Linked DNA regions of Xenopus tropicalis. The main gene of each other region encodes a partner of the protein of the gene in region 7 in a complex. Links are inferred from orthologs where the notes say so. Each region holds a gene or a part of one and is shown on either strand. Other genes may lie near its edges.

Region 1 (3,500 bases), on a different chromosome or scaffold from region 7:
TAAGCTTTCTCTACGGGCGCCACTACACACCTTGGGATGGAGGCCCAAAGCAAATATCTTTGGCAAATTGGTAAAGTATGTAAAAGCAGACTTAATAAACACGAAGGACCATAAAAAAACATTTGCAGAGATGGAACGTTGCTTTGAAAGCACAGAAACAAAGTTTTGCTTAATGACAACTCTCCCATGCAGATAATGAGTTTTGCAGCTGTGCAATGGTTGGATACACTGAAATAGCAACCATCAAAATGGTGATGCTAATAACAAGGGGGGGGGGGGGGGGGGAAGACATCATTTCTAGGCATTACTCATTCTCTAAAGTATAAAGCATCAATAAACTTTTGTGAACTGACAAGTGGGCTGAATGGTAGAGAAGTAAAGGATGTGATACATCCCCAGTTGACCTCATACTTAAGCACACAAGATACTGTACTGACTAAAAATAGATGCCAGTGCAGTGTTCTTATCTGGCACTGATCCGAAAGCCTAAGGTGACAATAAGCCAAGGGTAAAGGCTTATAATCTGAAAGTGTATACTGGAACCCACGTGAGATATGAGCAACAGTCTCAGAGAGGGGAAGAAAACAAACATTCCTATTCGTCAACACTTAGGTCTTGTTACACCGACCGTGCACAAAGAATAAAGGGCACAAGAGACATTTTAAAGCAAATCTATGTTTAGAAACATTTACAGGAAATGTGTCGCCAAAATATCAGTGAGCCTTACCTGTGACGTTTTGCTGTCTCTTTCCCGTATTCTGTCCTTAACTAGTTTAATTAACGATGTAATGTTATAGAATTCTGCTTCTTCCAGAACACCTATATGAAAGCAGATTTAGCAGGAATAGTGAAGATTTCAGAAAAATAAACTTCTGCAAAAAGGTAAAAATCTTTATTTGAATGTACCTAGGAAATTGAAGATTCAGTAGTAGGAACCTGCTTGGCCCAATGTTTTTAAAAAGCCACCCCATAGCTACTGGACACCCAAAATAAAGGGGTTGTTCACCTTTAAGTTAACTTCTAGTATGTTATAGAATGTCTCATCCCTAGCAACTTTGCAATTGGTCTTAATTTTTTAAAATTTCTGCATTATTTGCATTCCTTATTTACATCATTCCAGCTTTCAAATGGGGATCCATTTGACCAATGACCCCCGCAGCCAAATCTCTGAGCTTACAGTTTTATTATAATTGCCAATTATTAATCCTTATCCGTCTATTCAGTCCCTGTCGTTTATATTTTAGTCTCTCATACAATCTGCTGCCTGGTTGCTAAGGTAAATAAGACCTTGGCAACAAGACAGCTGCTGAAAATCCAACCAGGAGAACTGCTGAACAAAAAGCTAAACATCTGAAACAGTCAAAAATAAAAAATTAGAAATGGTCTCAGAATATCAGTTTCTATGTCATACTTGGTTAATTTAAAAGGTAAACAATCCCTTTCATGGAGAAATAAAAATCAGCTGTTTGTGGACCAATGTTCAATAGATCCAGGCATTTGATTGAACGCCAGTAAGACAAGCAATGAAAACTTCATTCTGGAGACAAATAGAATAGAAAGTCCCAGACACACAAAGGGTGGTTGCTAGTATGATTATAGGGTAAATGCAAGTCTCACACCCTCAAATCGTACCGGGTAAACAGGAAATTCAAGTTCAGACATGGTCAGAATAGAAAGTTAAAAAAAGAAAGGCTTTCAGAGCACTAAATAAAGTTAAAACATTTAGCAGCAATATTAATCATCACTGGATTAAGGACTTTATTTGGGACAGGCAATTGGAAATAGATTGGTAAATGAAGTCCAACATAGCCTTGGGCACACAGGGCTTTAGTGTGATGATGCAGAGAACAGTCAAACAATATAAATCTCCCTCCTGCCTTCACTCCCCATACTACTGAATGGCAAGCCAGACTTCAGTGCTTCAGTCATGGCTCCCAGTGCATCCAATAAAAATAGTTGTATTCATTTCTATCCATGGCAAGCAGAACGCCCCTAGCTCTTAAAGCCTTTAAATTAACTACACTACATGTTTTCAGCCAAACCAGCCTTCCTCAGGTGCATATGTAGGTGATTCCTTATCTAAGAAAATTCTCTTAGCACAGTTACTTCTAACTAGGGTTGCACCAAATCCACGCTACTGGACGAATCCTTAAAATTTTTGAAAATTTCAGAAAATAGCAGTAGGGCTGCACCGAATCCACTAACACTTTATAAATAGCAGGGTTTGAATCCTAAGCAATGCTCAAGATCATAAATCGTAGAAAATGTTTTATGAAGACAAAATTCCTGTTTACCTACCTACTAAATCCTTTTTCTTGCTCCAATCTAAGCCTGTTATAATATGCTTGTCTGGGCTGCACATTGTAACTAGCATTCTGTTGATACAAGCCAGACGCCTGGATATGTATTTTCCCCCTACTAAGTGCCATTCCCCAAATGGTGAAACATCAGCACAGCTTTATCCAGAGCCAAATCTGCATACCCGGATAACTGAAAAGGGCACACTTACCTTCTTCTGCTAGGTCTCTGTTTATCACAAGTTTCCCATGTCTCAAATAGTTTAATACTGGACCAAAATATGTAGGGTCTCTGTCTATCAGATATGCTCCCGTTTCATCCTAAATGTTAAAAAAAAAAAAAAAAAAAAAAACATGGAGTGAAAATTGAGAAGGCAAACATTACAATATACACCCTGGGTTCAAAGGTTCTCTTTTGTAGGAAACAAATGAGTACGTACAGGGTGCCATCATAGTCCACCAAATATGTTGACTAAAATCAATTAAGTTTTTGCCATCCTTTTGCATTATTTTTCATGATTTTTGCATTATCAAAGCTCCTGTTCTACCTATTTCCAGCCTGAAGTTAAAAATCCTATCTGGTTGTTAGGGGCCATTCAATTTCATTGTAATTCTTAATTTGTATCTTATTTTTCCAGTCCTTTCATACGGATCTTCCATTGTGCCTTCCAAGCTGCTGCTTGGCTGCCAGGGTAATTGGGCCATAGCAACTAGACAGTTGAAATTCCAAGGCTGCATAAATGATGAACACGTATGGCAGACATGACCATTAATGTTACCCAACAAATCCAAGACATCCTATTTTATAACACTGATTTTTTTTTTTTTTAAAGGGCCAATACATATCAAAGTTGAAATAAGGCCCAATGAAAAGGATTGCTTTTCTGTGATGTCCATTTTTATAATTTATCCTTTAAATAGGTTAAAAATATGCATCCTCAGATGCCTATATGGCAGTGCTGTCCAACTTCTGTGGTACCGAGGGCCGGAATTTTTCCGACCTACGTGGTGGAGGGCCGATAATGGAAGCCAGTTTTGACCACTCCCCTTTTTGAAACCGCACCCACTTGAAACCACACCCGTGTTATCACATGACCATACCCATATTAATGGTTGTAGTACAGCAAAACCTGCCATACTCTGCCTGCCATACTCTGCCTGCCCTGCCTGTGTGTGCCATTATCTGCCTGCCCTATTCTGCCT
Region 2 (2,631 bases), on a different chromosome or scaffold from region 7:
GACTTCCCCCTTGTGAATTTTTTATGACCGGTTTACTTAAACGCATAGTGACTCATTTGAGGCTTAACATTTAGCACCTCCATGTAACTACAACTTTCCTTGTCCTTTAAAAGCTGGACACCCTATATGGTAGTGCCAATTAAAAACCTAATGAGTGAGACTTGACGGACCAGCTTGCTTGATTATGCATTGTAGCTTGCTTGCCTCGTATAATTTGTGTTTTTTTTTATTTTTTTATTTTCCTGTCCAAGGTTGCTTGTTACAGTCCGAAAACAGATCAGTGGACTCTTGTCAGCCCTCTTCCTGCAGGGCATGGTGAACCTGGTATTGCTGTACTAGCCAAGAAAATCTTTGTTTTGGGTGGAAGGTCACACAATCAGGGGGATCGAACAGACTATGTGCATGTGTACGAAGCAGAAAGGGACTACTGGGAGGATGGTCCAAGGCTGGAAGATGACATTTCAGGAATGGCTGCTTGTGTCCTCACCTTGCCCAGGTCTGTGCTTATGGATACTGATGTGTGGACTCAGGAGATGTACATGCAGTACATGGACCCTGTGCAAAATTTGGCTGACAACGCTTCTGAAGTGATGAGTGTTTCAGACTGGGAAGACCTGGATAATTCTGGTGAAGACTGAAATCTTTCTTCAGTCATGTGTAAGTGGTGTTGTACATGGACTGATTATTCCTCCTTTCAAGAGCATCTGGCACTTTTGCAATGTGCATGTTCTTTCATGAGAGGGTTTAATAAAGTGCAGGGATTCAGGTTTTTGTGCACAAAATGCCTTGCTCTGTTTTTTGCAGTGCATTAGCTTTTGATTTGATTGCACCAAATCCCGGTGCCTTCAAGACATCTTCATGCAGAAATCCCTTTTTCTAGCGCTTTCTCTAGTGGGCTGGGCTGGCTGTTGCTGTTTGGATCATACTAAAATAGTGACACCATGCAGTGAGAAAAGATCTTCTTAATCTGCTTTAGGGATAAGACTTGTTAAATAATATTTGAAAAACTTGCCAAATGTACAAAAATTTAATTTTATTTCTCTTGTATATGTCTATATATAATTGTATGTCAGCACAGTTGTCTTTTGCATATGGAAAGTGCACAGGGGTGGGGATGGAATGCAGGAAAGCTGGGGCCCTAGATTCATAACACACTACAGAAATAAAGGACATCCGACATACTTCCTACCTGTTGCTAAATTACTGCTTCCATCCCTCTTGCTGGTAGTTGTACCTCAGCAAATGCACTATCTGCCTAATAATGTTACTTCTAAGCTGCTTGTTTGTGCACCAGTGTTGACAAAATATTGTGGAGTGAACAGGAAAATAAACACAGCTTACATGAAACTGCAGGGGGTATTGCTGCCCAGTCTTGCACGAGGTGCAGTGAATATTAATTGGTTACAAAAAAAAAGATCTTTTGATGAATTGCCAAAATGTTTTAATGTATATTCATTCTTAAATCAAATTTGATTCTCTTCCTTATATTTTAGCAACAAATCATCTCATGTTTATGTTAAAAAAAGGCAAACAAAAAGAGTGGATCATGTCATGTCCTTGGAAATTAAAGGAACAGTATCGGCAAAAAAAATGGGTTAAAATAATCAAAATATAATGTACAATTGCCCTGCGCTGGTAAAGGTTGTTTTCTTCAGAAAGACTGCTATAGTTTATATTAACAAAGCTGTTGTGTAACCAAGGGGGCAGCCATTTAAGCTGGAAAAAAAGAAGAAAAGACACAGGGGTTACATAGCTCTGTAGAATACAATTGTGTTTTACCGAGCTTATCTATTATCTGCTATGTAACCTGTGCCATTTAGCCCTATTTCAATTAGAATAGCTGCTGCTAGCTTTAAACTATAGTAGGATTTCTGAAGCAAACACACTAGTTTTACCAGTGCATGTATTTGAATTACTTTGATATGCTATCATGTTTTGATGTGACTGTTCCTTTAAGATTTAAACATAATGGCAGCAGCAAAAACTTGTTTCAGTGGGCATTGGTGAGAATTGCCCAGGATATCCCTCTTGATTACCCATCATGGCTCACAGGTAGTTTGGCTTTAAGTGTGCAAACTTGGTCTTAAGACAAATCCACTGTAAAAAATATATTAAAATCATGTTGTTTTCATAATGTGTTTGAGTTCTACCTTACTTGCATGGATACATTCTTCTATCTGCACTATCTCTGTTATCTTCTTTGCACCAAATGAAATCTGTACATTACTCAAGATTCTCTTCAGGCAAAGCCCTGACACATGGAGATTTTTAACTGGAGAGTGTAAAGGTGGCCATACACGGGCCGATTGTAGCTGGACTGATTCGGCAGCTTATCTGCCCATGTAGGGGCAGAATCGATGGCCATAGCCGACCGATATCTGGCCTGAAATTGGCCAGATATCGATCAGGCAGGTTAAAAGATTCAGTCAGATCAGGGACTGCATCGTCTTGTTGATACGGTCCCTAACCGACTGTGCCATTGCCGCCGTTAGAATTCGATCATTTGGCCTACATTTTCCCAAATTCCCCAACCCGTAGGTGGGGGTATCGGGAGAAGATCCGCTCGTTTGGCGACCTCGCGCACCTTAACTTTTATGATGGGAACAATGTTTTGATATACTTGTAATCTTG
Region 3 (4,193 bases), on a different chromosome or scaffold from region 7:
TCTGGGATGTTCAGCCATGCTGGTGACGGTTGATACCTCATAGAGGGTGATAGCATTTGGTACATTATTATAATAATTATTTTTTTTTTGTTTGTTTACACGCCAGCAACACAGTGATATGCTTGCGTGTTTTAAACTTTCAGTTTTTTGTGGAAAATTTTGGTGAAAACTTACCCACTGCTAGCCACTTCATGTGAATGGGAAAAACACTGTCTATAGCTTTTTTGGAGTCTCGGGACTATGTGATATTTGTCTGATGTTTAAAGTAATTAATCTGGATCAACTAGTAGTTAGGCAGGTTATATATAGGCATTATGGGTGAACATGATGGACGTATGTCTTTTTTCAACCCAACTTACTATCTACCCACAGGATACTTTGGGCACACAGTTTAGTCTCTTCCAGTTTGGTTTCTGTGTGGAGCCCTCAAATAGAAGCCCAGGACATCAAATTGCTACCATCAGAGTGCCTATGGCTCAGTGGCCTGATTTAAGCAGCCAGTAATTACAGGGTTCTCTGTTGGACAGTCACCAAATGTTGTAAAGCATGCATGGTGTTTGGTAACAATAGCATCTGAAAAACATTTAACTTACACTTGATGTTAATTATTCCTAATGTTGGCTTTAGTAGATGCAATTGATAATATATAAACATCTTTTTTGTAAATATAGTCATTTCTTGCCAGTTGCATAGGGCTATATATTTCATTCTACCTCATTCCAGTCAATAGAAAACTTGGATTGGGGGGGGGGGGGGGGGGGCAGCAGGATATACTGTATATTTTTTAATAATAAGCTTTTAAGTTTCAGAGTTCTTCCTTTGCAAGTTTCTTATTTCTAGGCTAGCATAGCTAGAATGAGAGACATCTGTGGATCTAGAAAGGGTAAGAGAAATATTTGGATGGCATATTTCCCAAATGCTGTGGGCACCAGCTCCTAGGGCCAATAGCAGCACAATCTATATTTACATCCTTGTTGCTAGTGGTACTAAACAATAGGCATGAAGCTGCAGTGTTGTACTATACAAAAGCTGGCAAATTTGGTCTTTTTTTTTTTTTTTTTAAATAACCTGGCTTCACATGACTCTATGCACAGCCCAGAAGGGGTATCCCAGAACAGCAAGGAATTGAGGGCACCCTATTCAGAAAGTAGCCCAATGACCCGTAGTAAAACGTAGGGAAGCAGGGGCATGACAGATACGTTGGTAAGACGTAGCCACCCCCAGTTGCAGGTGATTGGTTGATTTGTAAGGGGTATAAAAGGCTGGTAACTGTTCCCGCTTCTCAATCCATTTTAGTCAGCATAGTAAAACGCCCACCCTCCCTCCCTATAGAGGTGGAGATAGCGGAGTGTCGTCGGCGGGGTGATTAAGTTGGGGGAAAACAATGGTTGGGTTAGGAGGGGAGTTTTATAGTTAATTGGGGCTGGCATGCTTGGAACCTCAGGGGTAAGAAAGTGGATTAGGAGGTGAGTTTTGTTGGGTAGTTGGTTCCGGGCTAGAAGGGCAGCTGGCAGCGCCAGTTGCGCTGCGCAGTTATTGGATTGTTACAGTGTTTGGTTATTTAAAAGTTGGTTTGTTTGTTATACAAACATTTGTGTTATGTTTGAAATGTTGTTTCACATTTGTTATATATGTTATGTTTTAAATTAAAACTTTGATTGTTGTTAATAAATTATCTGCGGCCATTTTATCCCAAGAATTGGTGTCCGTGTTGTTTATTGGGGATGGTAAGTAAACAGGTAAAAAGGGGGGTGTTGGTTGGGAGAAGGGCGGGTCAAGATCCAACGTTACTCATGTCAAGGATTCCCCCTGCTTTAGGAACAACTCCCTCAAATATTTGCAAATTGAAAAATTACATTTTGAAAATCCGGGTGTATATTTACTTTAAGTTGGAAGCTATATAAGCTTGGATTTATAGGAACCCTTGGTTCAGGCTTCCTAGTTTCCTAGGCTTTTCTTACATAGAGATAAACAAGTCTTTCTTCGGAAGAATAATCTAAACCCATACCAGTAAGCTTTACTAATAAATGATGTGGCATGAAAAGATGTGACATATTTCATCATCACCTATTTTTTAGCACCAGCAAGTTGGCAAAGTTTTACAATAATTTACCTTTTATATTGTGATTTCGTAAAACACCAAAACAACTGCCATAACTTGGCTGTGTATAATATCCATGTGACGTGGAAGACAACTAAGAAATGTCTCCAAAATCAAACTTTACTGTTATGCACCCCTGACATGTTTACCTAGAAAGTTTTAACCATTGCATTGGAAAAGCAATATACATGCAGAAGGAAGAAAGGGGAAATCAGACGCGTGTACATTTTCAATTACTATGTCTAGGTCCCTACTCTAAATTCTTTACACCAAGCCCTGTAGCTCTAAGGTTATCGGTTTTGGCAGCCAGCTCCAAAGTGCCTGGTACTGTGCCAGCAGATTACCACAAGCTGGATATGAATATACAGTCATGCATAGTGTATATGTGCGTATATATATATAGATACATCATACTACTTCTACAAACATGGGCATAATATGAATACCATATGTAACCTGTCTCTGATGTCATTTACAGTACTGTGGTAGGATGATGCAATTAAAGCTAAGAAACACACTTGTTACATTTATGTGCAGATTCTACACTTATTACATACTGTTCATTGTGCTCAGTAGGATTTTAGTACTTACAGAGCTGCTCCCTGCAGAAGTCCTGGGATACCTAAGGGTTACAGCAAGGCAGAATCCTGTTCACATTCCTCTCCACACAAGCTATTTCTGATGGAGGGAGATGGTGTTGTGGTGGTAGGATCGCTGCATTGTCAAACTCTGTAGGGGAATCACTAATATGTTTCCATGACTTACACAAAATACAGTCCCAAAATAAGTGTCTGACAGGACTCAACTGTACCATAACAAACTGTAAGCACAAAATAGCGCAAAAAGGCATCCTCTTCCCTCTTGAAACATACTCTTTTAGTATTAGATAATAAATGACTCCCCCCCCTGTGAGCGCAGTTCAGATATTTGAAACCAGGCTAAATTAACAGCATTGTCCTGGTATGCAAAGGCAGTTAACTCTACTTCTTGCCCTAAATAAATCCTAAGTCGCACATTCATGGCACCCTGCAGAGCAGCCAGGCATTCACAAGTCTCAGCTGCAAATTAACTTTATACTGGACATTTGCATATGGATTTTTTCTGCCTACCCAGAAGATGGGTGCCAAAACTATGTTAAAACTTTTACTACGCAAATACGGCATGTATCTAAGATCGTACAGGCTGGTTGCTAAAATTGACTGTGAAATTGAGTGTGTAAAAATTTGATGGTTTTGTACGATTTTATCGATACATGTATGGCTAGCTTTAAGTGGCCATACATTGTGCAACCCTGCACCAATCAGTGCACAGATACCATATAAGGGGTCAATATATGAGTAAAGTTTAAGTGTTCTCACTGTGTTTGTGTAGGTTGCTGGGGTGCTTATTCTTTGCTAGGATGTGTTGCATATCGGTGCTATGTAAATATTGTGCATTATAGAAGTAAATTTAAAGAAACAAAAAAAAAAAAGATTCAGAATTGGCTAGACTTTGGTTTGTGGACAGTATTGTCAAATTATTGGTTACTGCCCCCCACCATTGTGAAAAACTGCTGCTTCCATATCCGGTGCAAGTTCATAGTTATTGTGTAATGTGTTAGTCATTACAGTACAAGAAAGTCACCCAGCAACAATCTGAAGTCTAGTAGTTGACACTGACATGGGAATGACTAGATAACCCATATGTGACTCACATTCTAAACCTGGGATTCCCAACCTTTTTTACCTGTAAGCCACATTCAAATGTAAAAAGAGTTGGGAATCAACACAAGCATGGGAAATGTACATGGGGGTATTGGCTATTTGGTAGCCCCTACGTGGACTGGCAGCATACAGGAGATTCTATTGGGTGGTTCACATGGTTTTTATGCAACTAAAACTTGCCTCCAAGTCAGGAATACAAATATAAGCACCTGCTTTGAGGCCACTGAGAGCAATATCCAAGGGGTTGGTGAGCAACTGGTTGGGGATCACTGATCTAAACCATAGCTAAATCCATGTCTTTACTATATTACAAGTAAGCTCTGGTTTAGAGTGCAAAACAGTGCAGGGTCAAAAAAATGACACACTGATTTTCGCCATCAGTTTTGCTT
Region 4 (3,438 bases), on a different chromosome or scaffold from region 7:
TTCTTCATACAGTGGACTAATTGCGCACCATGGCACATGTTCAGGAGCCAGATTATAATAAAAATAATTGCCATATAGTTAAGTCAATTAAAAAGGCCATCAATTTCTACTGGAACACCACTGGACTGCAGGCCCCAGCTGGAGAATCCTGGTATTATTATTGACTGTTACTGTTATCTGGTTGAATGGGTCAGTGACCCTAGCACCGACTTCAAAGTCAGAATCAAGGCTGAATGCGGGAAGGACTGGAAAGAGAGAAAAATAACCAAGTAACCTTTCCAGCCTGGCCGCGGTTATTGACCTGAGCATTTAAAGATTAACTCTAGAAAGACACAAAATTGAAAGGGAAATAAAAGATTAAGACCAATTGCATAGCTGCATAAATTACAAGTTCATTTGATGGTGAGCTTCCTTTAAATCACGCCGCTAGATCTAGAAGTGTTTTTGCACCATGAAGGCAGATGCAGGAAACTGACAGAGCACCAACAAACTAGAAGGCATCCGTTTAGCTCTTTATTCTACAGACCTGCTCATGCCGGCAAATGCTTCCAAGTGCTAACAAAAGCAGTCGGTATAAGAGAATAAGGCACTGAGGTGATGCTATTCCAGGAGTCTGAAGTTGGATCATAACAGTCTAACGTTTTACACCGCTGCGTCCCAAAGTAACCTCCTACCACGTACACTTTATTCCCTGAAGCCAACGCGTGGCACGACATACGTTTTGCAGTCATATCTCCTATTCTTGTCCATTGGTTGGTTTCACAATCAAAGCGATATGCAGAAGCTGCTGTGAATTCCGTGTCACCCCCCATGATAAAAATCTGACTTCCTAGCACTGCTGCAGCAGTGTAACGCCATGGCTGTGGGCATTCGGCTTTAATACTCCATCTGTTCTCATCAGGGTCATAACACTGCACTTTGGAGACTCTATCTCGATGTATGCTAGTGCCTCCGAAGGCAAAGAGCTTAAGCTTAGCGCTGACCACAGCTGCGTTACTTACACCATCCCTCAATGGTGCCATCATCGTCCATTTATTTGTTAATGGATCATACTTTTCAACTTGTTTTAATGACACAGATGGAGAGGCTGGGAAAACTCCCGCAACTGCTGTGTGCCCTCCAACGACATAAAGGCAGTTCTCCAGTTCAGCAGAGCCATGCCCAAACCTTGCAATCAGCATTGGGGCTGACTTTGACCATTCTTCATTGATCGTATCATAAACCCAAACATCTTTAGACACCCCATTTTCAGAACCACGTCCACCCGTTACATAGACCTTACACCCAATGGCACAGGCACTGAACTCTTTCCTTGGACTTGGAAGATCGGCTTTTGGAATAATTTCTTTGGCCTTGTGATCAACTTGATAAATCTTATCGCACATAAAAGTCTGTCCTCCTAAAATAAGTAAAGTGTGACCTGCTTTCCGTGGTTTGGCGCACAGACTTGTTACTACTCCATCGTTCTGAAGTATCTTCTTCTTGCAGACAACAGCTTCATCCATGATTAATTTGCTCCTCTCATCTGCAATAATTAAATCCTCGCAAACCACAGCTTCCTTCAGTAATTCAGACGGGAGCAAAGCCAGCCTTACCTTTCTCAACAGTTCTGGAAAGTAATCCTTCCTTTTGTCCAAGTCCTCCTTTACCCAGTGTAGTACAGAATTAAAAACAACCTGCTCATCCTCAATCTCAAGTTCATCGCTGGAGATCAAGTCAAGCACCATGTCCTTTGAAAGACTGCAGAAGTCTTCGGTGTTGTGCAAAGTTGCAAAATTGGATAAGCACGTTCTCAGGGACAGCTCGTACAGTCTCTGGCACTGATGTGCATCTGACAAAATCATCATTCCCAAACAATTTGAGGGATAAAGGTTCTTCTCCAAAAATTCACAAGCTGCATCCCGTATATCATGAAACTGAAGCATATCTCCAGCTTCCAGAAGAGATTCGGCATTTTCTTCATTAATGATAATTTTGGAAGAGTAAGCAAAGTCAAGTAAGAGCTCCAGTACCTCTGGGTGAAGGCTGTCATGGAAATTTACTGTGTTATCCAGGCTCTCTCGCAAGCCATTGCTGAACATGGCCTCAAAATACTGACTGCAGGCTGCCAGCACCGCGCGATGACAGGGGAAAGATCTGTTTCCAGCCCACAGTGTCACGTCGGTAAAGAGCCGCTGTTTTCGCATGGTGTTTAGGTGGTTTAAAACACAGTCAGAGTGTGAGAGTTTATGGTATAATGAGATATTCATGGATCCTGTACTGGTGCGTGATTTGCGATTTTCATGGACGGTGACAGACATGATGACATTTATGGCTGAAAAAAAAATGTAGGAAGTTAGAATTATTCGCTCTAGCAGATGCATTTTTATTCAAGAAGGGTAGGTTTATTTTAAAATAGAATTACTTAGAAATGTGCCCAGAAAAGCAAAATTTACTTAAAAACAATGCACGAAAGGCATATTGACATATGTTTTTTTTCCCACAAGACTCAGCTTTGCTACGCTGGGCAATATTCCACAGCAACATCCAGAAAAATCAATCAAATGTAAACATAATATAATATACTGCTTCCCTGTGCTGCAGAAACTGTATGCTGAGTCAGGGGATCATTATAGTCATATAGGGTAGTATGAGCCATTCTGCTAATCTTCAAAAATCTGAAAAATTGCACCCCTTAGCACCCATGCAATTATCCCTTGTGCCTGGGGTCATGATGGCCTGCACCAGATTAGGAATCCAACACAGGGTGTAGAGTCTATAGGCAGGTGGTAAGTACAGGGCACTCCCAGCTCTCCGTAGCCTTCACATACAAATGACAGGTAAGTTAGAGCCTGTTCCAAAGATAACCAGGATGTGGCCACCACTTACCCTATAAATACAGTGCAGTATTCAGAGTAAGTGAGTGAGTGTTCCACAAGTGTGTATTTCTGTAGCTTAGGGCACAAGCAGCGGTGAAATATGTAATGTGCATTTTTATGCATTGTCCCGTACTCATAGGGGTATATTGATTAAGCTGTGTAAAACAAATTTGCTGCGTAAAAAGCTGTGTAAATTAAACAGAGAAGATCGCAGTCCAAACGCCAGATTTTACGCTGTTATTTTCAACAAGTTCTGGCTGTTTTTTACACAGCATAATAAATATGCCCCCAACTGTTACTGTCTTGATGTGCCCCCTACACAACTCATTGCCTATTGTTTGCCCTCTACTTATTCTCCTTCAATTGTCAGTGACCCACTCTCCTACCCCTCAGCTCTCCTCTATCATCCTTCTATGCTTGGTACTCCACAGTCTAACCTTAACCCTAGGGGCTACTTACATGGGATGAATCTGTGCAAGCACAGATACATGAGAACTGATAGAGAACGGATAGAGAACTGGATGATGAGATGTGCTGGGAAGATTATGGAAAGCTTATGCCATGAGTGAGACGTACTTTT
Region 5 (3,500 bases), on a different chromosome or scaffold from region 7:
CTTTAATACTGATACTCCAAAGGATTTTCATAGTCAGTATGGCTTTAAAATCTCAGTGGGTTCCTTATCATTGAATACAAAGGTATGTGAAGCAAGTTTACAGCTCAGAAGCATGTCATCCAAATATTCCTATAGCATTAACAATCAGGGCTGAACATTCTACAATGTACATTGTCTATACCACTTATTAGTGCTTTCCATAGCAATGCTTTTTAACTTACCTGAAATAGGAGCTGCATGTTGCCAAAACCATTTTATGACATGGAAATTCAGTGCCCTCAACAATTAATACTATGTCAGTCAGTAGCTGTTGCTCGTAGAACAGTTTCAGCTGCTCCAGTAAGGAAACCGCATATTCAGTATTGATCTGCGTTTCGTCCTGGGTGGACATGGCTGCATTCCATTAATATGTCCACTGGCTAAAAAGCAAAACAAGGGCGCCTTGTGTAGATGACAAAAATTCTTAAAAATTTTTTTAAGTGACAGCGGCACAGTTAGTAAAAGTGCCTTAAAATACCAATCCAACAAAGTACTTCATACATCTTAGATTTCACAATCCAGAGTGCCCGTAATTGCTGAGAGTTAATTAACAGAGTGCTCCTTGACAGAGGCTACTTGAAATCCAGACTGTGCCATTAACATTATATTCCCAGAACCTGAAAAACAAACAGCAGAAGTAATGTTAATAAGTTATAATAATAAAAAGAGAAACATTCTGTGCAATAAAGCATCAATTCCAATTTACCCTAGACCCAATGTAGCTAGATTAGGCAGAATGTGCCTCCAGGAGCCCAGCAATACTTTCCATTTAAATTAGTGGCTATGGTCCGTTTTTTGACAGTGCCTAGTATTACAATTAAATGCAATTCTAAATGTTCTCAAAGTTCCAAGACCAGAAACTGAAAATTCCATAATGCTATTTACATATAATGGTGATTTACCCAGCACTTTTACCTTTTCCAAAAAAGCATATATTTAAAGTGGACCTGTCACCCAGACATAAAAAGCTGTATAATAAAAGTCCTTTTCAAATTAAACATAAAGCCCAAAATATTTTTTTTATTACCACATCCATACCCATTATAAAAGCATTTTAAAATCCCAGCTGTCAATCATATAATGCCTGCCCCGCCTCTATGCCTTAGGCATAGAGGTGGGGCAGACAGTTACTTTAATTTTCAATTCAGAACTTCTTAGATGTTGCTGCACCCCTCACATTCCCCCTCCCTCCTCACCATGTAACTGTGTAACCAGTGCATGAACATGGGCATCAGGTCCCCCCGTACTGGCACAGAAACAAGATATTGGCAGGATGCAATGCCTGCTTTGATAACAGTGTCCACAAAATGGCCCCTGCCTGCTTGCTGCAATTGTGAATTCCATGGCTGAAGATAATAAGATTAAAATAATTTATACTGTGTAAGTAAAGTTTATTTTGCTTGCCAAACACAAAAGAAAACAATTTAAAATTATTTCTTAAGGTGACAGGTCCGCTTTAAAATATATAAAAATATATATAAAATATAACTGTTTATGGCAGTGACACCACTAAACACACACTGCTTTAACAAGGACTTGGGACCGAATAGAAATAAATGAAATTTCTATTAATAGTCCTTTAAAGGTCTCTGTTGCGGTAAAACCTCTACCTAAACAGTCAACAAAACGTGCATGGAGAGGACTGCCAAGGAACCTGGCAGCAGATGTACCACAACCAAACTTAACATGTGGTATTTTAGACAGGGGGAGTAGGCTGTTGGGGAGGGTAATACTAACAGCAAAGAGGGTAGGGATTTAGTTTGCCTTTTCAGATAAAATATAAGGAAAAGGAAATGCTGGTAGTGGTGCTTCTAGTTGCTTCACCTGGCTGAAACATACTGCAGAAATACATGCCATGTGCCAAACCCTGATGTACTCTAAATGAGATTTCTGCCTCAAACATTTTTCTTTTTTGCATTGTAAGGGCAATGAACATGGGACCCTGATGGCTGCAACTTGTGATTAATAAATCACTCAAAGACATGTAACCCTTCCCACTGAACTCAGTGGGATGAAACATCTGCACTAAAGAGTTTATCACCTGAATCCAAGATAGTACAACCTTGGCACTTCCCACTGATGTCAATGGGGTGCAATCTATGGCAAGTAGTATGCATGTAGAGCTCTGATCAGACAGCTGTTAGAGCTCCTTAAAAATGATAAATATCATATAGTTAAATAAAATAATTTTACCAACTAAGTAATTATGTTTGTCAACAACCCACATTTCTAACAAGACATAAATGGATGACACAACAATACCAAAACAAGTCAGTACTATCCAATACTCTGGAGTAGGGTACAAAGCAGTCGAATAGGTGTTTAGAGGAGAAAATGTGACAGTAGCTTTTCCTTTGATCACCTATAGGAGAGGTCACGACTGGTGAGCAGTTGGTTTCCTCTTATAGGAGGTCACAGGAAAAATCAGTAGTTACATTTTGGGAAAATCCTTGGTTTACCCTGGCACTGAATACAGAATATAAGGGTATCATACATGCTTAACAAGGTTTGCAGACTACGTACTGGTCTGTCCCTGTGGTCTCCTCTTGCAGGGGAGCCCATGGTACATAGCATAACACATACCTAAACAGCATTCTACAATTAGGAAGGGCAACATGGAGCTGCCTGTACCTAAACAATTTACAGAATGTGAACATAGTGAGAATCATATCGCATAAGGAGAAGTTCCCTTATCAAGAAGGATGGGGGTGATAGTGAGCTCCTACTGTGGTGGATAAACTTGCAGGTTGCTATGGAATTAAGCACAATGTAAATTCCTACAGTTGAATCATATTCTGTGTAAACCCTTTTAAAAATCCTTTACCTACTCATTGCCTGTGAAAATGAATGGCAATACTACAAAAAATTGCATATAGGGGTATGTGAAATAACTTATTCCCCAATTCCTGTACTGTGCAATAGGTGCAGGGGATGCTTGGGACACCAGAACAATATGGCAATGTGGCACTCAAAACTACCATAGGCCAGCGCATTTTTTCTGAAGAGGAGGAGTGGTGTACTGTGGTAGGGAGTAAGTGACTATAATCACTAAAAGCCTTTCAGTAATTCTGCCTTTCACTCTTAAATTCTTTAAGTCTTAAATTGGTTTCATTTCCCAATCCCCTGTTCTTTCAGTAGGAAGAAAGGTTTCCGGCTTCCTAAGCTGCTGAAAAATGTATCAACTTATCAGCCTCAATGAAGGATGCTCCCTAAGCATTAGCTGCTGGCACTGCTGAGGAATTTATGCAAGTGATCTAGCTTACTGAATGTAGAGGACAAGAAAGAAAATTAAAATCAGATTCATTCACTCCCAAAATCTATAATTTTCAAAAAACACTGAAAAATATTAAGACACTATTATTATTGTAAAAAAAGCTAAGTTAAGTTTCTCACTTCCTAATCTAAAAGCCAACATTACTTGGGCTGATCTCTAGACTACTCAGTTATTCAGCACAAGTTAT
Region 6 (4,281 bases), on a different chromosome or scaffold from region 7:
TCCTCCAGTTCCCCCCCCCGGCATCCTCCAGCTCCACTCCACAGCATCCTGCAGCTCCCCACCCCAGCATCCTACAGCTCCCTTCCCAGGATCCTCCTCAACATCCTCCCAACAGCATCCTCCCACCAGCTCCCCCCCAGCATCCTCCAGCTCCACTCCCCAGCATCCTGCAGCTCCCCACCCCAGCATCCTTCAGCTCCCCACCCCAGCATCCTCCAGCTCCCCCCAGCATCCTCCAGTTCCCCTCTGCATCCCACCCAGCATCCTCCAGCTCCACTCCCCAGCATCCTGCAGCTCCCCCCAGCATCCTCCAGCTCCCCCCCAGCATCCTCCAGCTCCACTCCCCAGCATCCTGCAGCTCCCCTCAGCATCCTCCAGCTCCCCCCAGCATCCTCCAGCTCCCCCCAGCATCCTCCAGCTCCACTCCCCAGCATCCTGCAGCTCCCCCCAGCATCCTCCAGCTCCCCCCCAGCATCCTTCAGCTCCCCCCAGCATCCTCCAGCTCCACTCCCCAGCATCCTGCAGCTCCCCCCCCAGCATCCTCCAGCTCCCCCCCAGCATCCTCCAGCTCCCCCCCAGCATCCTCCAGCTCCCCCCCAGCATTCTCCAGTTCCCCCCCAGCATCCTCCAGCTCCACTCCCCAGCATCCTGCAGCTCCCCCCAGCATCCTCCAGTTCCCCCCCCAGCATCCTGCAGCTCCCCCCAGCATCCTCCAGCTCCCCCCCAGCATCCTCCAGCTCCCCCCAGCATCCTCCAGTTCCCTCCCAGCATCCTCCAGCTCCCCCCAGCATCCTCCAGTTCCCCCCCAGCATCCTCCAGCTCCCCCCAGCATCCTCCAGTTCCCCCCCAGCATCCTCCAGCTTCCTTCCCAGCATTCTCCTCAACATCCTCCCAGGTAGGGAGGGCTGTTAATGTAAGTCATTTCTATTTGACGTTCCTAAACCTGAGTGTCCCCTCCCAGCCGGTCAGTTATAGCTCCTAATGCTAACCAATAATGGCTGCACAAATATGGCCGCCGCCGCCTCATAGAGGGACATGGAGACCAGATAGGTAATATAAATGCATTGGGCAAACACTTCTATGGGCAAATAAATAAATGTACAAACAGTGTCATGACAGTTGCAATAAAGGGTTTAATTTCTGGTGTCAGTATCTCTTTACGGCTTTTACAGCTAAAGTCTCTCAGTTGGGCGATAAAGGCTGAACTCCAACTACTATGTAATATCTGCTAGGGTTGCCTGTTCCCATGGGGATGGCGTCTGGCAGGGATATAGCCCTCCCATAGAGAATCCCAGCTGCACATATAAGGCCAGTGTTTATGGGGCATGGGGGGGAAAACACAATATGGGAAGGGGAGGGGCCTGTCTATGAAGCAGACGCTTCCATGAGGAGGTGCGTCTGGCAATGGGGGCGTGTCTTTGCGCGGCTTGTGGTTATAAGAGGGGCAGGAGGCGTGTCAAGTACGTGTTTGCGTATAAGTGGGCGTGGTCCCTGGCACGCAGGTGGAGGGGACTGGGTTTTTTACAAGCTTCTGCACATTCAGGAAGTGAAATGCCTGGATGGTCAGTTTGTATTGGGGCGTTCTCTCCATGTTGGGTAAACGGAAAGACTGGGCAAGGGGGGCAAGTGGGGGCAGCCAATGGGGCTAGAGCTGCTGGCACAATGAGCTGAATGGACAAGCTGCACAGATGGGATTCTCTCTCTTTCTGGACTTTCTTGTTACTCAGTTTGCTGAGCTGAAACGGGACCGGCTGATGGGTGGGGAATCCAGGTCCATTCTCTAGTTGGGCAACTGTTCCTGATTGGAGGGTGTTGCTTCTGGGCTGTTATTTTTGGAGTATTTTTCCAAGAGATTCCTTAATTGTCATGGGTGGGGGGTGTAAGGAACATTGGGCATTTCCTTTATTGGTTCTCTGCCTGATATTCTTATGCCCAGAGTGGGTGCTTGGTGCCCAAGGTTCTTGTAGGTATGGGTGTTTGATGCCCTGATTAGGTGCCCAAAGTTCTTGTAGGTATGGGTGTTTGATGCCCTGATTGGGTGCCCAAGGTTCTTGTAGGTATGGGTGTTTGATGCCCTGATTGGGTGCCCAAGGTTCTTGTAGGTATGGGTGTTTGATGCCCTGATTAGGTGCCCAAGGTTCTTGTAGGTATGGGTGTTTGATGCCCTGATTAGGTGCCCAAGGTTCTTGTAGATATGAGAGTTTGATGCCCTGATTAGGTGCCCAAGGTTCTTGTAGAAACAAGGGTTTGATGCCCTGATTAGGTGCCCAAGGTTCTTGTAGGTATGGGTGTTTGATGCCCTGATTAGGTGCCCAAGGATCTTGTAGGTATGGGTGTTTGATGCCCTGATTAGGTGCCCAAGGTTCTTGTAGAAACAAGGGTTTGATGCCCTGATTAGGTGCCCAAGGATCTTGTAGATATGGGTGCTTGATGCCCTGATTAGGTGCCCAAGGTTCTTGTAGATATGAGAGTTTGATGCCCTGATTAGGTGCCCAAGGATCTTGTAGATATGGGTGCTTGATGCCCTGATTAGGTGCCCAAGGTTCTTGTAGATATGAGGGTTTGATGCCCTGATTAGGTGCCCAAGGTTCTTGTAGGTATGGGTGTTTGATGCCCTGATTAGGTGCCCAAGGTTCTTGCAGATATGAGAGTTTGATGCCCTGATTAGGTGCCCAAGGTTCTTGTAGCTATGCGGTGCACAAATAGTGTGATGTTTTTATGTTGGTAGATCCCTTTTCTGGTTCCATTTCTGGGTTCTTGAAGGCATCATGCATGTATAAGTGATGTCCTCTGTAGAAACAGTTCAGATACTGTTGGGTTCTAGGTGTTACTCTGTACCTAGGGAACAGCTGGTGGCTCAGAGTGGTTTCTTCCAGTCACTGTTCCGGTCGGGCATGAGGGAAAGTCATGGGGAACCAGTGACTCTGCATGGGCTGACCCCTGAGGGCCTGGAAGGGGTTCTCCGCCACATCACTGGGGGTTCCCTTCTAGAAGCTCAGGGGGGTTCCGAGTTTGGTTTCCAGGTTGTTTCCTTGGAAGATCCAGAACGTTGCTCACTGGAGGATGAATCAACATGCGGCCTGGAGTCATCGGGCCCTTTACAGGCTGTGGTGGAAGCCGCATCCTACCTACAGGTCCAAGGTCTTCTGTCTCTCCTGCAGTCCTCCATGTCCCTGGACACGTGTCTGGATATCCTGGAGGTGGCGCAGTTGCATGGCCAGTGGGATTTGGCTTCGGCAGCTCTACATTTCATGGCTGCTCATTACCTTTCTATGTTGAGGAGGGAAGACTTCCAGCAGAGCCCAAGGTCCCTCAGAACTCGTGTCCTGGAAGAGAGGCTGAGAGGAACCCCAGCCCTTATGGTCCTGTCCCAACAGGGCCCTGACAACTGGGTGCTACTAAGGTACCTGGAAGGGGGAGGCGGTTGGCAAGTCATGACCGGAGAGGTCCCACAGAGTATGCTGAGGGTGCAAGGCTATGGGGCTACCACACTCCATAACTACCTGTTTGTGGCTGGAGGTAGGAGGGACAATGGGCAAGAGATCAGTGCCGTGCACTCGTACAACCCGAGCAACGGGTGCTGGACCCAGGAGCCCTCCATGAACCAAAAGAGGTAATCAGGTGGGGAATATTGTTTTCCTTAGTCACTTTGCTTTTCTGTTCTGGTTCTGTCCTATGAAGCTATGGCCACTGAGGAGCCCAGGATGCCAGTCTTTTATTCAGACAATTGCCTGGTTGCTTGGTCAGTGACCCTAGCAACCCCTAACTAGTTTAAAGTCTTATTTTACAGGTTATCTTCAAATCTGTCATTCACACCGCTTCCTGATTGCTAGGGGGAAATATACTGCTTGTGTTTGAGTAGCATTAGCTGTGGTGACTAGTGGACCAGGGCATTTTGACTGCTGGTGTTTTTCACCTGTGAAGCTACCGCAGGCCTTCGATTTCTGTGCACAAAATAAAATATTTTGTGGTTTACTTCCCCTTTACATACCAGGTGCAAGGTTCCACTCCAAGTTCTAAACTTGGATGAACTCATATAATAAAATAAATTTATATCCTGAGTCCTGTATTGAGAATCTAAGCACACCTTCTATTTTATCATCTATAGGAACCATATTAATTCCCCTTGTTATTGAACTACAACTCCCATCATCCTGTCAAACTGACATGCAAGGGAAATAGCAAGGTGCTGAATTGTGCTTAGTACAGGGGAATCCCTATGTGCCATAGTTTTATGGTATCTCTCTGTACAGGCTATGAGCAAACTTAGGGGGCTGTTCA
Region 7 (4,291 bases):
AGGAAGAATGCAATTTGTTGGCTTCACCAAGATATAACCTGCACAGAATCTGGAGTTTCCTGGATAAGGTTCTTCCATAATTTGGATCACCATACCTTTGGTCTGCTACAAAGTCATACCAAAAATAATTTAAATGTTAAATAAACATTTAAATAAACAGTAAATGAACGTTCAGGCAACAGGTAATTGGCTGGCTTCACCAAGATATAGATTTAGAATGGAAACTCTCTTGCTTGCTTAGCTCAGTGAGACTGCCTGCCAACTGTGTGTATGAATCACTAATTGTAGAACTGCCAGTACAATGTTCTTTTAAGCATGCATACAGGTGCACTGCCTAGTTTAGTGTGCACTGGCATTCCCATATCTTCATGAGCAGATCAGGATTAAATACCTTTCCTTCATCTAACAACCAATTTACAACCTTGCTGCTATAAGAGCAGCTCCAAATCTGAAATCAATATAAACTCTCAGGTCTCTGCACACCAAGTTAACACTGGAAGCATGTACTCAGAATGTTATGCCTTTATACCTGTGTCCCCAGGTGACATCTGAGGGACAGATTGGGCTGGGAAGGCCATTACAAAAATGCCCCAAGGAGTTCACTGCCTGACTATCCAGGTAAAGGGTCCACAGCGAGTGAGGCAATAGGTGCCAAATGCATGGACTGCAGTTTCCCACCATCAGCATTGTTTTGGCTTCTGATTAGAATGACTGTAAAGCGGCATTATACATAACTGTGCATATCTTTATGTGTAGGGATATTCACCAGACTGGATAATACTCCACTCTCTTTGGCGAAACCATAGATCAGTGACCAACAACAAATGGCAGGAAATCACTACTGCATTCCATACAAATCTTCTAACCTGAATGTCTATTTACTGACTGCTAATGTTATGGTGACAGCCAGTGTATCCACCAAGTGCAGCTACACCAAGCAAAGAACAGCCTGAAAATGTAGGCTTTTGCATTTCTCAGTCTGATTTACACTCCGTAGCTACACTGCCCATCAGTGCAGCTACAAGGAGCTGTGGAAACACTGTCAGAGAACAGTGGATGATCTGCTGGGATAATGCATATATATTTTACATGCTTAGAATATACATATTCATCCAAGCAATTTTTGGTTTTAAGAAGAACATAACAGGGAAATAAATGACTAACTTGTAATATGCTGTTACCTGGGATGTACAATACTTGTTTATATACTGCATAAGTCCTGAACTAAGTACACATTATTAAAGTGGAAATATGCCCAAAAAAAAAACAAACAGCTTTTTGTATAACTATATTTTGAGGCAACTTTCCAATATTAAATTTTTTTCTGCGTTTGTAAAGTATTTTCTATTTCAGTTTATATTCTTTCCTCTGCTGGACACCTGAAATAATTCAACAGAAAGTAGTTGATTAAAAGACCTGGAAAACAGACTTCTGCTACATTGTTCAAGAGTCAGAACTAGGCTACACAAAGGACTTAACAAATACTACTTTTAACCAAGATTAAAAAAAGCTTAGGGTGAAAACACAATGAGTTACTAAGTAGCAGCTACTTGTCATGGCTAGTAAATGCCAGAAAATACTCTGCCATAGACAATACTGAGAATTGCCTCTGCTAAACCACACGTAGAGACATGTATCGGTAAATAATCAGCATTGTCTATTGTTGTAGCCGTGACAAGTAACAGCTATTAGCTCCATGTGTCTTCACCCTTATAAACAACAGAAAACTATAAGGGTGAAGACACACAGACCTACTAGTAGCAGCCACTTGTCATGGCTACAGAAACAGACAATGCTGATCATTTACATTTACATGTATTAGCCATGACTAGTAGCTGCTACTAAGTTGCTCCATGTGTCTTCACCCTAATGGCAAGTTTCTAACAATGACTTCTTCATTTATTAATATGTTTTGGGGTGGAACTGCTTTTTATTAACTCAAGTCTATATATCTTTTGGCAAGCGGCCTCATGCATTTGTACAGGTCAGGGCAACTAATGCAGCCCACCTGCTGAAGCACAACTCCAGCTGGCATTGATATGCTCCATGTATTGGCTATAGGATGGCTACTTGGGTATCCCTGTCTAGTTTATTTAAGTGGGGGCTCATGATACACATCTATATGGTAAACTGCAATGGGGCTCGCTGTCAGATGATACTGGGAGTAGTAGTTTAGTATAAATAATGTGTGAATTTGGGCATCCCATACTCATGGCCATACAGATGTCAGGCAGCTAGATGAAATGATCCAGTCACAGCTAGCACAGCTGTACAGAGGCAATGGGCTTTCCATGCCATACATACAGCTCACAGAGCCTTTATTGGAAGCACATTGCAGCCAATGTTTACAATGCAGTGCTACCTGTGCACAAACACTAGCAGCTCTGCACTTGGCTCGGAGAGGATGCTGGGATATCCGGTAGAAGAGGAGCTACAGGATGATAGGTTGGATGTCACAGCTAGTGACACTTATAGCCCGCCTCCTGTATTTACACTGCCATCCATATGTGGCCCCCGGGGATTTGCCCACAAGTATCCTATGAGTCTCACCGGGAAGGCTCGGATCCTCATCTTGGTATCCTTCCGGCTGCCGGTGCTTTTCCCTAGGTTCGACATGTTGGCGGCTGTTCGCTCACACTCGGCCCCGGGGCCCCTCCTTGTCTCCCCCCGGCGGGTGTAGGTGTGAGGAGGCCCCGGGCCCGGCCTGTCAGCGACCCGGCGGGAGCTCCTTTACGGCAGTCTGGTCTCCCTTCAATGCGGCCCCCGGGGCTGCAGGGGGGTCTAAAACTATACGAACGCCCTAACACCCAGCGCTGACTAAACTCCTCCGCGATGGCGGACAAACATCCCTTTCCCAGCAAGGCCGGCGAGGGGAGGAGCCTGGGAATGGGGTGTGTGTCGCGAGAGTTCAAACAAGCCCCGCCCTTCCATACCCAGCCCCGCCCCTTCCATTCATTTCCTCCCACCCCCGGTCGGAGCGCTGTCACTAAGCCGCAGCCCTACCTCGTCTCAATAAACTTTATTACATCGCGCATACATTGCTGCGCAGGCTCCGGCGACAGCGACGTAATCCGTGGAACGTTGACAAGTGACGTCATGTGACGCTCTGAGCGCAGTTCGTACGTGGAGGCTGACGCGTTCCGTATATATACAAAACGCCTGTCGTCACTTATGCTTCTTTAGGTGGTAATGCGTATATAGACACTAATGTGTACCGTCTGGAACCCGGGAACCCTAGCCATACAACGAATTTGTCACACCTACCGTAGGTGTATGGATAGGGTTACTAAGTAGCTTCAAGTAAACATGCAATATTAAAGAAATAGATTGATTTTGACTTAATTAACGTTAGTTTGGCTAGACTCATGTTAAGATGCCCACTCTCCCAAGAAACAGAAATTCCAAAACATTGTATAAAAGCATTTCCAATATAATGTACTGTTGCCCTGCACTGGTACAACTGGTGTGTTTGCCCCAGAAACACTGCTATAGTTTATATAAGGAATGCAGCTGTGTAGCCATGGGGGCAGCCATTCAAAGCAGAAAAGGCACAGGTTACTTAGCAGATAACAGATAAACCCCCATTATATTCTACACAGCTTATCTGCTATGTAACCGGTGCGTTTTCTTTCTTTTATCAGCTTGAACGTCTGCCCCCGTGGTTACACAGCAGCTTATTTATATAAACTATAGTAGTGTTACTGTAGCAAACACCAGTTTTACAACTGCAGGGCAACAGTACATTATATTTATGTTAAAAAACTTTTAATTTTTTTGGTGTTACTGTTCCTTTAATATAATAATACTCATAATATAATAATTTGTCACTATAGTGCACCATCATGAAAATAATTAAGGCCATCCAGTTTTTGTGGGACCTTGTTATTAAGCTAAGGGGGGCAGCCTAAAGACCAGAGAGTAAAATCCGGGGTGAGTGTTTAATTGATCTGGAGCTTTAGCAGGGTGATTATTAACCCAATGCTTGTACATTTCTGTTATATAACCTTGTTATGGTGTTTGGAAGCCAAGCCTGAAGGCAAGTAAGAGTGAGATGTGGGTTTAATGTTTATTTGCCTCTTTTAATAGACTTGTAACTAAAACAGGGAAGCTGTTAGACCATGAAGAACTGCCTGCTGGTTGTGGAACTGTATACAATGGAAATGTCTCTTTAAAGGCTTGGGGGGCATAAGATATTTAGCACACCTTTCTCCTGTGTAAATGACTGAAGTCATTGAGGTGAGAGTTTAATCAACTCTTTTCTGGCATTTCCTGCGTTGCACTCCAAACAGTA

Evidence for each region.
Region 1: the proteins of cul3 (region 7) and kctd5 are in contact, whole or in part, in a cryo-EM structure (PDB 8U83), measured with the Homo sapiens proteins. The link is inferred for Xenopus tropicalis from reciprocal best matches to the Homo sapiens genes CUL3 and KCTD5. Residues at the interface, in NP_003581.1 of Homo sapiens: Thr24, Met25, Asp26, Glu27, Lys28, Tyr29, Val30, Asn31, Ser32, Ile33, Trp34, Asp35, Leu36, Leu37, Asn39, Ala40, Glu43, Asn48, Ser50, Leu52, Ser53, Glu55, Glu56, Leu57, Arg59, Asn60, Ala61, Tyr62, Thr63, Met64; in NP_061865.1 of Homo sapiens: Trp45, Phe55, Leu56, Thr58, Thr61, Arg64, Asp65, Lys67, Ser68, Pro96, Thr97, Tyr98, Phe99, Gly100, Pro101, Leu103, Asn104, Tyr105, Leu106, Arg107, His108, Gly109, Lys110, Leu111, Val112, Ile113, Asn114, Lys115, Leu117, Val122.
Region 2: the proteins of cul3 (region 7) and klhl22 are in contact, whole or in part, in a cryo-EM structure (PDB 8K8T), measured with the Homo sapiens proteins. The link is inferred for Xenopus tropicalis from reciprocal best matches to the Homo sapiens genes CUL3 and KLHL22. Residues at the interface, in NP_003581.1 of Homo sapiens: Thr14, Arg17, Ile18, Arg19, Ala20, Phe21, Pro22, Met23, Met25, Asn49, Ser50, Gly51, Leu52, Ser53, Phe54, Glu55, Tyr58, Tyr62, Leu66, Met118, Asp121, Ile122, Met124, Tyr125, Arg128, Val129, Gln133; in NP_116164.2 of Homo sapiens: Asp73, Tyr74, Arg76, Gly77, Met78, Gly81, Gly82, Leu83, Lys84, Glu85, Leu92, Ile93, His94, Leu117, Gln121, Val125, Cys128, Gln129, Gln131, Pro133, Trp146, Glu150, Asn151, Asp154, Val155, Arg157, Leu161, Phe162, Asp163, Ser165.
Region 3: cul3 (region 7) and klhl21 share a complex: the UniProt entries of both Homo sapiens proteins name them as parts of the BCR(KLHL21) E3 ubiquitin ligase complex. The link is inferred for Xenopus tropicalis from reciprocal best matches to the Homo sapiens genes CUL3 and KLHL21.
Region 4: cul3 (region 7) and klhl25 share a complex: the UniProt entries of both Homo sapiens proteins name them as parts of the BCR(KLHL25) E3 ubiquitin ligase complex. The link is inferred for Xenopus tropicalis from reciprocal best matches to the Homo sapiens genes CUL3 and KLHL25.
Region 5: cul3 (region 7) and kbtbd2 share a complex: the UniProt entries of both Homo sapiens proteins name them as parts of the BCR(KBTBD2) E3 ubiquitin ligase complex. The link is inferred for Xenopus tropicalis from reciprocal best matches to the Homo sapiens genes CUL3 and KBTBD2.
Region 6: cul3 (region 7) and klhl42 share a complex: the UniProt entries of both Homo sapiens proteins name them as parts of the BCR(KLHL42) E3 ubiquitin ligase complex. The link is inferred for Xenopus tropicalis from reciprocal best matches to the Homo sapiens genes CUL3 and KLHL42.

The regions. Positions count from the first base shown.
Region 1 is NC_030685.2:28,823,122-28,826,621, forward strand, and holds part of kctd5 (BTB/POZ domain-containing protein KCTD5), read right to left. Parts: intron 2,619-3,500; coding exon 2,510-2,618; intron 820-2,509; coding exon 728-819; intron 1-727. UniProt on the Homo sapiens protein: Its interaction with CUL3 suggests that it may act as a substrate adapter in some E3 ligase complex. Does not affect the function of Kv channel Kv2.1/KCNB1, Kv1.2/KCNA2, Kv4.2/KCND2 and Kv3.4/KCNC4.
Region 2 is NC_030677.2:152,826,019-152,828,649, forward strand, and holds the end of klhl22 (kelch-like protein 22), read left to right. Parts: intron 1-251; coding exon 252-638; 3' UTR 639-2,131; downstream 2,132-2,631. UniProt on the Homo sapiens protein: Substrate-specific adapter of a BCR (BTB-CUL3-RBX1) E3 ubiquitin ligase complex required for chromosome alignment and localization of PLK1 at kinetochores.
Region 3 is NC_030683.2:99,627,038-99,631,230, forward strand, and holds the start of klhl21 (kelch-like protein 21), read right to left. Parts: upstream 2,801-4,193; 5' UTR 2,693-2,800; intron 1-2,692. UniProt on the Homo sapiens protein: Substrate-specific adapter of a BCR (BTB-CUL3-RBX1) E3 ubiquitin-protein ligase complex required for efficient chromosome alignment and cytokinesis.
Region 4 is NC_030679.2:111,537,627-111,541,064, reverse strand, and holds klhl25 (kelch-like protein 25), read right to left. Parts: upstream 2,307-3,438; 5' UTR 2,301-2,306; coding exon 531-2,300; 3' UTR 501-530; downstream 1-500. UniProt on the Homo sapiens protein: Substrate-specific adapter of a BCR (BTB-CUL3-RBX1) E3 ubiquitin ligase complex involved in various processes, such as translation homeostasis and lipid synthesis.
Region 5 is NC_030682.2:61,961,583-61,965,082, forward strand, and holds part of kbtbd2 (kelch repeat and BTB domain-containing protein 2), read right to left. Parts: intron 657-3,500; 5' UTR 392-656; coding exon 222-391; intron 1-221. UniProt on the Homo sapiens protein: Substrate-specific adapter of a BCR (BTB-CUL3-RBX1) E3 ubiquitin ligase complex that acts as a regulator of the insulin signaling pathway, modulating insulin sensitivity by limiting PIK3R1/p85alpha abundance in adipocytes.
Region 6 is NC_030679.2:10,512,130-10,516,410, forward strand, and holds the start of klhl42 (kelch-like protein 42), read left to right. Parts: upstream 1-1,481; 5' UTR 1,482-1,967; exon of another isoform or gene 1,968-1,993; intron 1,994-2,012; 5' UTR 2,013-2,263; exon of another isoform or gene 2,264-2,443; 5' UTR 2,444-2,783; coding exon 2,784-3,613; intron 3,614-4,281. UniProt on the Homo sapiens protein: Substrate-specific adapter of a BCR (BTB-CUL3-RBX1) E3 ubiquitin-protein ligase complex required for mitotic progression and cytokinesis. The BCR(KLHL42) E3 ubiquitin ligase complex mediates the ubiquitination and subsequent degradation of KATNA1.
Region 7 is NC_030681.2:123,779,715-123,784,005, reverse strand, and holds the start of cul3 (cullin-3), read right to left. Parts: upstream 2,801-4,291; 5' UTR 2,617-2,800; coding exon 2,551-2,616; intron 1-2,550. UniProt on the Homo sapiens protein: Core component of multiple cullin-RING-based BCR (BTB-CUL3-RBX1) E3 ubiquitin-protein ligase complexes which mediate the ubiquitination and subsequent proteasomal degradation of target proteins.